3 linked regions of the Macaca mulatta genome follow. The protein of the gene in region 1 interacts with the protein of each later gene in a pairwise test. Links are inferred from orthologs where the notes say so. Each region holds a gene or a part of one and is shown in the gene's direction. Other genes may lie near its edges. The genes, in order: TXLNB; keratin, type I cuticular Ha8; USHBP1.

Evidence for each region.
Region 2: the proteins of TXLNB (region 1) and keratin, type I cuticular Ha8 interact in binary tests that used the Homo sapiens proteins (3 or more experiments, as listed by UniProt). The link is inferred for Macaca mulatta from reciprocal best matches to the Homo sapiens genes TXLNB and KRT38.
Region 3: the proteins of TXLNB (region 1) and USHBP1 interact in binary tests that used the Homo sapiens proteins (3 or more experiments, as listed by UniProt). The two-hybrid records come from large-scale screens. The link is inferred for Macaca mulatta from reciprocal best matches to the Homo sapiens genes TXLNB and USHBP1.

What each region holds. Positions count from the first base shown.
Region 1 is NC_133409.1:44,399,485-44,403,232, reverse strand, and holds the start of TXLNB (beta-taxilin), read left to right. Parts: upstream 1-1,413; 5' UTR 1,414-1,611; intron 1,612-3,748. UniProt on the Homo sapiens protein: Promotes motor nerve regeneration. May be involved in intracellular vesicle traffic.
Region 2 is NC_133421.1:65,782,610-65,786,357, reverse strand, and holds the start of keratin, type I cuticular Ha8, read left to right. Parts: upstream 1-1,498; 5' UTR 1,499-1,560; coding exon 1,561-2,052; intron 2,053-2,239; coding exon 2,240-2,322; intron 2,323-3,115; coding exon 3,116-3,272; intron 3,273-3,616; coding exon 3,617-3,748.
Region 3 is NC_133424.1:17,748,625-17,752,372, reverse strand, and holds the start of USHBP1 (harmonin-binding protein USHBP1), read left to right. Parts: upstream 1-971; 5' UTR 972-1,154; intron 1,155-1,367; 5' UTR 1,368-1,415; coding exon 1,416-1,469; intron 1,470-1,564; coding exon 1,565-1,713; exon of another isoform or gene 1,714-1,946; intron 1,947-2,009; exon of another isoform or gene 2,010-2,728; coding exon 2,729-3,167; intron 3,168-3,748.

The sequences.
Region 1 (3,748 bases):
GATTGCATCCCTCTGGAGGCTCTAGAGTAGAATCTGCTTCCTTGCCTTTCCCAGCTTCTAGAAGCTTCCTGACCTATGCTGAGGTCATCAAATCTCCTTTTCTGCCTCCAATCCTACTGCCTTCCTCCCTCATTTATAAAGACCCTTATGAGACTGAGCGCAATGGCTCACGCTCGTAATCCCAGCACTTTGGGAGGCCGAGGCGGGCGGATCATGAGGTCAGGAGTTTGAGACCAGCCTAGCCAAACACAGCGAAACCCCCATCTCTACTAAAAATACAAAAAATTAGCTGGGTGTGGTGGCGGGCACCTGTAATCCCAGCTACTCAGGAGGCTGAGGCAGGAGAATCACTTGAACCCAGGAGGTGGAGGTTGCAGTGAGCTGAGATTGCACCACTGCACTCCAGCCTGAGTGGCAGAGCGAGACTCCATCTCAAAAAATAAATAAATAAATACCCTTATGATCACGTTTAGCCCACCCAGATAGTTCAAGATAATCTCCCTACCTCAGGATTCTTAATCACATCTGCAAAGTCTCTTGTCATGTAAAGTAACATATTCACAGGTTCCAAGGAGTAGGACGTGGAGATGTTTTGGGTGGCATCATTCTGCCTACCACAAGGGATGCCACTATGCGCAGCCTGTCCCCAGAGCAGAGACTGATGGAGGAATCTGCTTTGAAAGTATAGGAACACAAGCTCCAGAAAGAAAAATAAAAAGGGAATGGACGTAAATTAATAGAGAGGCATTTGATGGTGAATCAGAAGGAGTTTATTTTTCTGAGGAGGATCCAGGAGCATGTTGAGGATTTACAAAGTGTGGGAAAGCCACCAACTAAGGAAGAAAAAGCTGACTGCTTCCCTGAGGGTTTGTCTGAGGTGGGAACAGTTACCTGGGAAAGACTGTGCTCCAAGGTCACACCAATTACCATGTGCATGAAGATTATACTCAGTTCAGCTCCAAAATCACCATCTACATGTTTATTTCAAACTCTGCAAACAAACCAATGACATCAGAATTAAAATAGTTCCACCACCTCCCTGTTCTTATGCCATTGTTTTTCTTTTTCCGTGATTCCTATAACAAACCTGACACCAATTAAGCTAGCAGAAGTAGAAGAAGAAAAAGAAGATGAATCATCCACCACACTGGAGATAAACCAAGAAGTAAGAAAAACTGATCTCTACCCAAAAGGGTAACAATGGTGAAAGACTGCATTTGCAAAGGGGATGATATAGTCAGAGTTTAAATTTCCGAAAGGACAAACAAAACATGGAGAGTCCGATGAGATCTTCCAGCTGCTTCTCTCTGCTAAGATATTTCCCGTGGCAACAGCTAGGGAAGCTTGGATGTATTTTCCCCTCACTGTGTCATACGATGTTCCTTTCCCTACCCCCACCTCCCCCAGACTGCTGCCTCCAGCAGTGCCTGTGGCGTGTGTGTGTGTGTGTGTGCGCGCGCGTGTATATGTGTGTGTGTGTGTGTATTGGGTTTCTCTCTCCCTTGTAAGAACACAGCCAGCCCGCCCTCCCCTGCTGTTGCTGCAGCTCTGACTTGCTTTTTCCTGCCTCTTTCCTCTCCTCTCTCTTCTTGCTTAGCTTCTTGCCTTCTGGTAAGTATGATAAACCCTCCCCCAAGCCCCGTGAGAAGATGTAGGGTGCGGTTTGTGGTGTTTGAAACTTGCAACTTTGAGATTGCCAGTGAACTGTTGGAGAACTTTTCATTGTTGTATTTATAAATAAATATGTTGCTTAGGGAGGGATGTGTCTGTGATAGTCATCTGGAATAGCCAACACAAGTGAAAAGTTCTCTCCCTGGGGAGGGGAAAATAAGGCAATAAAGTTTATATAAGATAAAAGTTTGAAATAATTTCTTTGCCACATAATATACAATGGATGATTGAAAAGTAACGAAGTTCTTTGACTTTGTTTTTTTCCCTCTTGTTAACTTGTCTTGAGACTACTTTTAGGAATTGAGTTGTCCTAGGCTTTATAATGACTGTTCTGTTTTAAAGTAAATGTGGAACAGGAGTTTAAAGAATAGCCATGGAATTAATAATTTAAAAAAATCAATGATTGTGGCATCTGATAAAGAACAAATTGAATACAAACAGCCACTTGCATTTAGACTAACCAAAGTAAAACTCCTATGGACAGCTTATTTTAAATTAATTATTTTGAAATTCATTTTACTTGAGATTTTATTTCATCCTAAGATAGTCTCCCCAACTTTAAAACCTACGTATGGATTTAAGCCAGCAAATGTTTACTGTTTTCAATTTGATTGAAAAATGATTTTCTTGATTTTTAAGGATGAAGTGCTAAATGGCATGACTCATTTTAGAATAGCTTAAAATAACTTTTGGCTGGACAGCAGGTGCCGTGTGTCTTTCTCCGTGTTTAGGGGAGGCCTAAGTTATATATAGATGAGTGCAATCAACAAGTAGAGGTCAGGATAAAGAAATCCCAGTGATGAAGATAATGAAATTGTTTGCTACATTATTTGATAATTAAGTTGGTGAATTCAATACAGTGAAAGAAAAAAAGTACTTCCTCTAAGTTATGAGTGTTTAGTGAGCATCACATCAGTGGCAATGTCTGTGTTGAATTTTCTGTTCTTGTTGGTGTCCGAGCATTTGATTGACACCTGCTGCCCTAAGAACAGGAAAAGGAAGCTATGCAGTTGTAGAACAGTATGCTTTTGTTTTCACTTTCACGTTACCACAACAGCAAAACCTGCGAATTATGAGGATCTTGCCTTATTTTTATGCTGCTATTTAGCAGCATCACTGTTAAATATTATTTAAAAATAAAATGCACCATAACTTAAAGGCCTAAACCAAATCTATTGCAACCCTAGAAGTGGTAATAGTCAGAAACACTGGAATCTCTGACTCAGTTCCATCTCTCACCCTTTCCCAAGGGCCCTTATTATTGCTGAATTATTTCTCGAGTTGGTCTCCTCCTCGTTTATGAAACATTGCTACTTCTTAAAAATTATTGTTTTTCTAGAGCTTCCTGACTTAGAAGAGAAAGTTGTAATCTGTTTTTCTCTTTTAAAATGTTGGTTTATATATTGGAATAAAAGAGTATTATAGAAACTTAAGGAATTGTTGTTATAAGCAGCATCATGCTTTTGTTTTGTTTTTGAGACAAAGTCTTGCTCTGTCGCTCAGGCTGGAGTTTAGTGGCGCAATCTTGGCTCACTACAACCTCCGCCTCCCGGTTCAAGCAATTCTGATACCTCAGCCTCCCAAGTAGCTGGGACTACGGGTGCCGGCCACCATATCCGGCTAATTTTTGTATTTTTAGTAGAGACGGGGTTTCACCATGTTGGCCAGGCTGGTCTCTTGGCCTCAAGTGATTCACCCGCCTCGGCCTCCTAAAGTGCTGGGATAACACATATGAGCCACCGCACCCGGCCTGTGTTTCTATACTACTTGGTTTATTTATTTATACCTTTCCTCATTCCCTGTCTTAATTGAAAAATGATGCCAGTTTGAGCCTCAGAAAAAGCATTCATGTTGCTTATCTGAAAAAGAAAATGCCGGAAAAGTGAGAAATGTCTCCTGTATCGAGTGTAATAATGCATTTACATCAAAATATTCATACTAAGCAAAATACTGATTTATGGATCAAATAGAACTTAGAGATGTTATTGTTATGAGTCATTTAAATAAATTCGATGGCTCTTCTATTAAATATTTTAACTTTGAAAGAAAACTAATGCCATTTTAGATTTAAACATTT
Region 2 (3,748 bases), on another chromosome or scaffold:
TGTATCTACTGTCACAAATTTTGGAAGAAAACTTTTGGGATCTCAGCAGTCATGTGTCTTGGATCCCTAGTACCAAGAACTATCTAAATGTGGAATGTGTAATATAACCATTTTAGAGACAGGGGTTTCCCCTGGCATCTTCTGATTTGGCCCTTGGAGAAACTCTGTTTTATTGTATCAATACCTCCACATCTGAGGTATTTTCTGAGATACAAAGGGAAAAATACACAACGTCAGATTTTTGTTTTACATCTTCACTTCAACTTCTTGCCTGGTTTCTAGGCCTTTGAATCCTTCTTAGTTCTAGCAATGACACAGTAGTTATCCTTGGGGGTGGGAGATTTGGTGGTAGTCAAGGTGAAGAAATAGCTTCTGCAGTTGAAAGAAGCTGATGTTGAGAATAGGCTTTATACTTCATAGTGGGGTTGATCTTAGAAAAATGACTTCACATCTCTTGTCCTCAATGGCTTATTTATTTATTTTATAAAATTAAGAGTACCCACCTCCCAGGTTGGAAGTAAAGATTAAAAGGTATCACTGCTCAATCCCCTAGCTCATAGGGTGAAGGCTCATGACTGATTTTAGAATCAAGGAAGCAAAGTATGAAGAGAGCCCACAGAGGCTCTGATCACTCAATGTTCTTTGGCTTTCATGAGTTCTTTTCTCAAAGTTCTTATTTGAGGTTCAGTAAGATTATTGCTCATTTCTTTTTGTTTTTTTCTGGCTTCTTGAGCTTGCCTTCTTGGTCGAGATAAGCCATGGTTTTTGGAGTCATCCTCATTTTCATAAGCTTCTCAGATACCTTGTTTGAAACATCACATCTATCCAAGTTACAGTTGTTCCCCAATGACAGGAACTGTTCTGTGCTTAACCAACTATATGTCAAGTGTCAGCAAGGTGCCTGACAAATGGGACATAGCTAGGGGATGTGTGTTGAGTGAATGGATTCATCTAAGTCTTGTTGCTCCTCAAAGTGAGTCTGAAAGGCAACCAACTAAAGAAAGAAGAAATGTAGGACTTCTTGATAACCCAAGGCCGTAACATCCACCAATACCAAGACTTAGTTTCTTCCTTGGATAGGGAAGGCTGGTTGAGTCTTAACCCAAGTGAGAACCATTGCCATTACAAGGGTTAGTCCTCCTGCTACACCACTGACCAACAGGAAAGTTTGTGTCTCCAGAGTGGAGACATCCATAAAGAGGCCAAACCCAGTCAAGGTCTAAGCATCTGATGGCTAAAATAACTTTGCTTCTTTGAAAAATAATAAAAACCTTCTGACCTCCCACCAGCAGCCAACCTGATTTCAAAGAGCCAAGAGGCATCTCAGATTCGTCAACATTCCTTTAATGAGCTGAGAAACTTTTCATGGTAAACTCAGCAGCTGAGTAACAGGATGATGGCACCACAACAGGTAGATAATCAAGGCAGGAGGTCAAAGCATTGGAGCCAACACCCACCCAGGACGGGGTATAAAAGGGCTGGGAGGAGAGGAGACCTCAGTCTCAGTGGCTCGGCGTTCCCAGCTGATCTGAAGCTCCTGTGCAGTCTCAGCCCTACACCATGACCTCCTCCTACAGCAGCTCCTCATGCCCTCTGGTTTGCACCATGGCTCCTGGAGCAAGAAATGTCTCTGTCTCTCCCATCGACGTTGGGTGCCAGCCCGGGGCAGAGGCCAACGTTGCCCCCATGTGCCTTTTGGCCAACGTGGCACATGCCAACCGAGTCCGCGTGGGGTCGACTCCCCTGGGCCGCCCCAGCCTCTGCCTGCCCCCAACCTGCCACAATGCTTGTCCCTTGCCAGGGACCTGTCACATTCCTGGCAACATTGGAATCTGTGGGGCCTATGGTGAAAACACCCTGAATGGCCATGAGAAGGAGACCATGCAGTTCCTGAACGACCGCCTGGCCAACTACCTGGAGAAGGTGCGCCAGCTGGAGCGGGAGAACGCGGAGCTGGAGGCCACACTCCTCGAGAGGAGCAAGTGCCACGAGTCCACTGTGTGCCCGGACTACCAGTCCTACTTCCGCACCATCGAGGAGCTCCAGCAGAAGGTGAGGTGTGGGATCACTTGGGCGTGCTGGGTCTGAGAAGGCAGAAGCCTTCGCAGGAGGAATCCACATAAGGTCCAGAGAGCTTTGGGTTCTTGGTTTCTCTTGGACATGAGCGTAGACACCACACGTGGAGTGGGAGCTTAGAGTATGATGCTTTGTGTGTGAACCGTCTTTCCGTTTTCCTCAGATCCTGTGCAGCAAGGCCGAGAATGCCAGGCTGATTGTACAAATTGACAATGCTAAGCTGGCTGCCGATGACTTTAGGATCAAGTAAGTCAGGTGGAGGAGGGCCAGGGTGACTCCCTCCCCACCCTCCATCCCAGTGCCCAAATACTTGTTGAGTGAGTGAATGTTTGTCCTGTCTTCCTTGCTAGATTCTCCACAGTAAAATTTTCATTACAATCAAAGCTGATGAAAGATGGAAGGGAAAACTCCTCATTAATCCAAGCATATATGTTTGTCCTCCTTCATTTATTTCCCTAAAATGGAGGATAAGGGAGCCTGAGTTCATTCACCAGGAGCAAAATGAGGGGATTTCAAGGATGAACTGAGCAAGACAGCCATTGGGTTTCATATATAAGTCAGAGAAGTCGTTTACAGATGAGTCTTTGTTCAGATTTAATTATGGAGCCCTAAGGTACCAGGCATAAGGTACCTAGGCAAAAATGAGAGAGGGGAAGACAGCTGAAAAGTAAGGCATAAGGAGCCGCAGATCACGATCAGGCACCTGGCTATTGCTTATCTTTGGTAACTGACAGTCCCCGCAATGGCACGAGTGTTGGTCCCAAGATGCATGATCTTAGGCAAGTCAGTTCATCTTCCTGAACTGCAGTTGCCACAGAATACAATGGCAAAAATGTATATTGTGCAATGTAGTGTTGTGATTGCTTCATTAGACCATGAGCTCTTTGAGAAGGGGGGCTGTGTCTAATTCACCTTCGAGGCCAGAGGGCTAAACAGTGAACAAATGAGGATCCAAGGTGGTGTGGGAGGTAGGAAGGCAGGGCAGCCGAGAGGGGCTCTTGGGGCATTCTTGTTGACCCTGTACCTCCCGTGATGGAAGGCTGGAGAGTGAGCGCTCCCTACGCCAGCTGGTAGAGGCGGACCAGTGTGGGACGCAGAAGCTCCTGGATGACGCGACCCTGGCCAAGGCTGACCTGGAGGCCCAGCAGGAGTCCCTGAAGGAGGAGCAGCTGTCCCTCAAGAGCAACCATGAGCAGGTGTGGCCCTGGCTGCTCAGACTCCCGGGGAGGGTGCTGGGCAGACAGGGGAGCTCCCTGGCCCCGGGGCTCTCAGAGCATTGTCTGGGCTCAGCTGGTATCAGGATGCAGGACTGAGGGGGGTCTGAGGGTCCAGAGGGCCTCTGTGGAAAGTGCAGACTTGCCTTGGGCACGAGGAAGGTGTCCAGGTGGGCTCTCCCCACTGCACTCTCAGCAAGACTTTCCCATTTGCTTGTGTGTGGGACTCCCCTCCCACTGCTTGCAGGGTCAGGGTCCTGGTGCTGTCTGCTCCATCAAAGGTCCTCTCTTCACACAGGCTGTCTGTCCCTTCCTCCTTTCTGCAGGAAGTAAAGATTCTGAGGAGTCAACTGGGGGAGAAGCTCCGGATTGAGCTGGACATTGAGCCCACCATTGACCTGAACAGGGTGCTGGGGGAGATGCGGGCTCAGTACGAGGCCATGGTGGAGACCAACCGC
Region 3 (3,748 bases), on another chromosome or scaffold:
GACAGAGCGAGAAGAGAACTGTCAGCCCACAGTGAAGAGACAGGCAGAGAAGAAGAGTTCACAGGGGAGCCAAATAAAAGCCATATCAGGCCGGGCGCGGTGGCTCAAGCCTGTAATCCCAGCACTTTGGGAGGCCGAGGCGGGTGGATCACGAGGTCAGGAGATGGAGACTATCCTGGCTACCATGGTGAAACCCCGTCTCTACTAAAAATACAAAAAACTAGCCGGGCGTGGTGGCGGGCGCCTGTAGTCTCAGCTACTTGGGAGGCTGAGGCGGGAGAATGGCGTGAACCCGGGAGGCGGAGCTTGCAGTGAGCCGAGATCACGCCACTGCACTCCAGCTTGGGAGACACAGCGAGACTCCGTCTCAAAAAAAAAAAAAAAAAAAAAAAAAGCCATATCGGCTCAGGGGAACATTCTAGCTCTTTTTTTTTTTTCTTTCTTTTTGAGACAGGGTGTTGCCTTGTTACCCAGACTGGAGTGCAGTGGCGTGACCATGGCTCACTGCAGCCTCAACTTCCAGGTGTTAAGCAATCCTCCCACCTCAGCCTCCCGAGTAGCTGGGACTACAGGCATATGCCACCACTCCTGGCTAATTTTTATATTTTATGTAGAGACGGGGGTCTTGCCATGTTGCCCAGGCTTGTCTTAAACTCTTGGGCTCAAGCGATCTGCCTTCCTCAGCTTCCCAGAGTCCTGGGATTACAGGCATGAGCCATGGTGCTCGGCCCATTCTAGATCTTGAGAAATAAAATCCAAGAGTCAGAGCTAGAAGGGCCATAGGCTTGGAGGCTGAGACGAGGAGGGGCTGAAACCTTGGTAGTCAGGTATGTGTGCCCCGCTAGGGCTGCAGGAAGCTGCTGTCCTCAAAAAGGAAACAACACAATAACAAGTCACATGACCAGGGGAGGGGGTTTCCTGTTTCCTGGTCCCTCCCAGGCCAGGCTTGGCCAGCCCAGGCCTGACCAGGCAGTGGCCAGAGTGACCCCAAGACGGTGTCCAGGGACTCAGGCCTCTGATCAAGTTACCCCCAGAAGATCAGAGAGGTAGAGAGCTGAACCCGTCATTTAGGAGGGCCGCGGAGGAGAGGGAATTATTGAGATTGCATTTCCAGGCTCAAAGAGAGGAGGGAAGGGGACAAAGACGTAGTGAAGGTAAAGAAGGCAGAGAAGAAGGGGGAGATCCAGACAACCTTGTTAGGTAGTGAGCTGCCTGTCCAGGGAGGCATTCAAATGTGCCCAATCAACATTGATCACAAAATCCCTTCCTGAGGGGTAGTCAATGTCCCATTTCACAGCAGAGGAAATTGAGGTTGTCCCTTGTCCAGGACAACAAAGGCAAGAGGTCATGGCAGGCTGTGGTTTTAGGGGTTGACGAAGGAGAAGCATTCAGAGAGCACTGGCTTCTGGACAGCAATGAGTGCCCGGGCCACGCGGCCCCGAAGCCGGCGAGGGAGGCATGCTCCACCCGTAAGTGTCGCCCTCTCCCCTCCACACCCAGCTCCTGGGGACCCCAAGGTCCCGTCCTGCCTGGCTCAGAGCGGGGCCACGGGGGTCATTTGCAGGGTGAACTGGACCCCGTGGCTGAGAGTTCAGAGGAGATTGAGGCAGCCAGTGGGAGCTCCAAGCTCAGCTTTGCCCCACCTCCTGTGAGCTCCGGGCTGGAACAGCTGGGCCCCATGGAGGAGGTCAGTGGCCAAGGCCTAGGAAGCAGGTAAGACCCCCTTGGTCTGTGCCCTTCACTCCAGTCCAGATGCATCTTTGCCATCTGCAGATCTGCTGATGTGCCCTCTCTGCTCACACACCTACCATAGCTCCCTGTTGCCTTCAGCCTGACTTCTTTTTTTTTGAGTCTTGCTCTGTCACCCGGGCTGCAGTGCAGTGGCACAATCTCCACTCACAGCAACCTCTGCCTCCTGGGTTCAAGAGGGAGCCTCAGCTTCCCGAGTAGCTGGGATTACAGGTGTGTGCCACCACACCCAGCTAATTTTTGTATTTTTAGTGAGACAGGGTCTTGCCACGTTAGCCAGGCTGGTCTTGAACTCCTGACCTCAGGTGATCCCCCCACTTCGGCCTCCGAAAGTGCTGGGATTACAAGTGTGAGTCGCTGCCCCAGAAGACCCCATTTCCAGAATCTTCTGTCTCTCACCTTCAGGACTTTCCCAGTGCCCGTCACAGTCCAACTTACTATTCACTCTGCTTCGTAGCCCCAGGTCTCCCCTCCAACTTCTCCACCACCTCTGTCCAGCCTCTTCCCTGAATTCCCAGCCTCCCAGTCTCTCCCCGGGATGCAAGTCCCAGAACACGCAGCTCTTGCCAACTCTGCCCCGCTCACACCTCCCGAAGACCATGAAGTTTAAGCCCTAAGAATTCCCTGCCCTGGGCTGAGCGTTGTGGCCCATGCCTGTTATCGCAGAACTTTGGGAGGCCAAGTCGGGCGAATCACCTGAGGTCAGGAATTTGACATCAGCCTGGCCAACATGGTGAAACCCTGTCTCTACTAAAAATACAAAAATTAGCCGGGTGTGGTGGTGGGCACCTGTAATCCCAGCTACTTGGGGGACTGAGGCAGGAGAATCACTTGAACCCAGGAGGTGGAGGTTGCAGTGAGCTGAGATCGCACCACTGCACTCCAGCCTGGGCAACAGAGTGAGATTCTGTCTCAAAAAATAAAAAAGAATTCCCTGCCCAGCATGAAGCGACTCAAGTGCCTGAGTTGGTGTCCACAGGACCGACAAGAAGACGGATGGGGGCTCTGGCAGGGGACTGGCCTCAGCCCCCGAGGTGCCCCACAAACCTGCAGTGGAAGCCTACCAGGCCCCAGAAGCAGCCCTACAGTACAAGGAGACTGTGCCCCCTGGGATTGGGGCCCCCGATGTGTTTCAGACCCTCCAGCACGCTCTGAGCTCCCTGGAGGCAGCGGCTGCAGCCTGGCGCCACCGGCCCCCCAGCCATCCTGGGCCAATGGAGTTGGAAGACACAAGCAAAGGGGGACCAGGTCCCCTTGGGAAGCAGGAAGGGGCAGGGAGCAGCCAGCGAGAGGCAGCTCGCCTGGCTGAGAGGAATGCCTGGCTCCGGCTGGCCCTGAGTAGCCGAGAGGATGAGCTGGTCCGCACGCAGGCCTCCCTGGAGGCCATCCGAGCTGAGAAGGAGACGCTGCAGAAAGAGGTGAGTGGGGCCATCCTGTGTCCTATGTGGCTCTCTGTCTGAGGGAGGAGGCAGGCCCGATGTAGGCAATATTCATTCATCTGTTCATTCCAAAAACCTTTTGAGGCTGGGTGTGGTGGCTCACGCCTATAATCCCAGCACTTTGGGAGATGGAGGCACGAGGATCCTTTGAGGCCAGGAGTTCAAGACCAGCCTGGGCAACACAGCAAGACCCCTACCTCTGCAAAAAATAAAAAATAAAAATCAGCCAGGTTGGCCAGGCACGGTGGCTCACACCTGTAATCCCAGCACTTTGGGAGGCTGAGGTGGGCGTATCACAAAGTCAGGAGTTCAAGACCAGCTTGGCCAACATGGTGAAACCCCATCTCTACTAAAAATAAAAATAAATAAATAAATAAAAGCCAGGTGTGGTGGCATATGCCTGTAATTCCAGCTACTCAGGAGGCTGAGGCAGGAGAATCACTTGAACCCAGGTGATGGAGGTGGCAGTGAGCTGAGATCACATCAATGTACTCCAGTCTGGGGAACAGAGTGAGACTCTGTCTAAAAAAAAAAAAAAAAAAAAAAAAAAAATTCAGTCA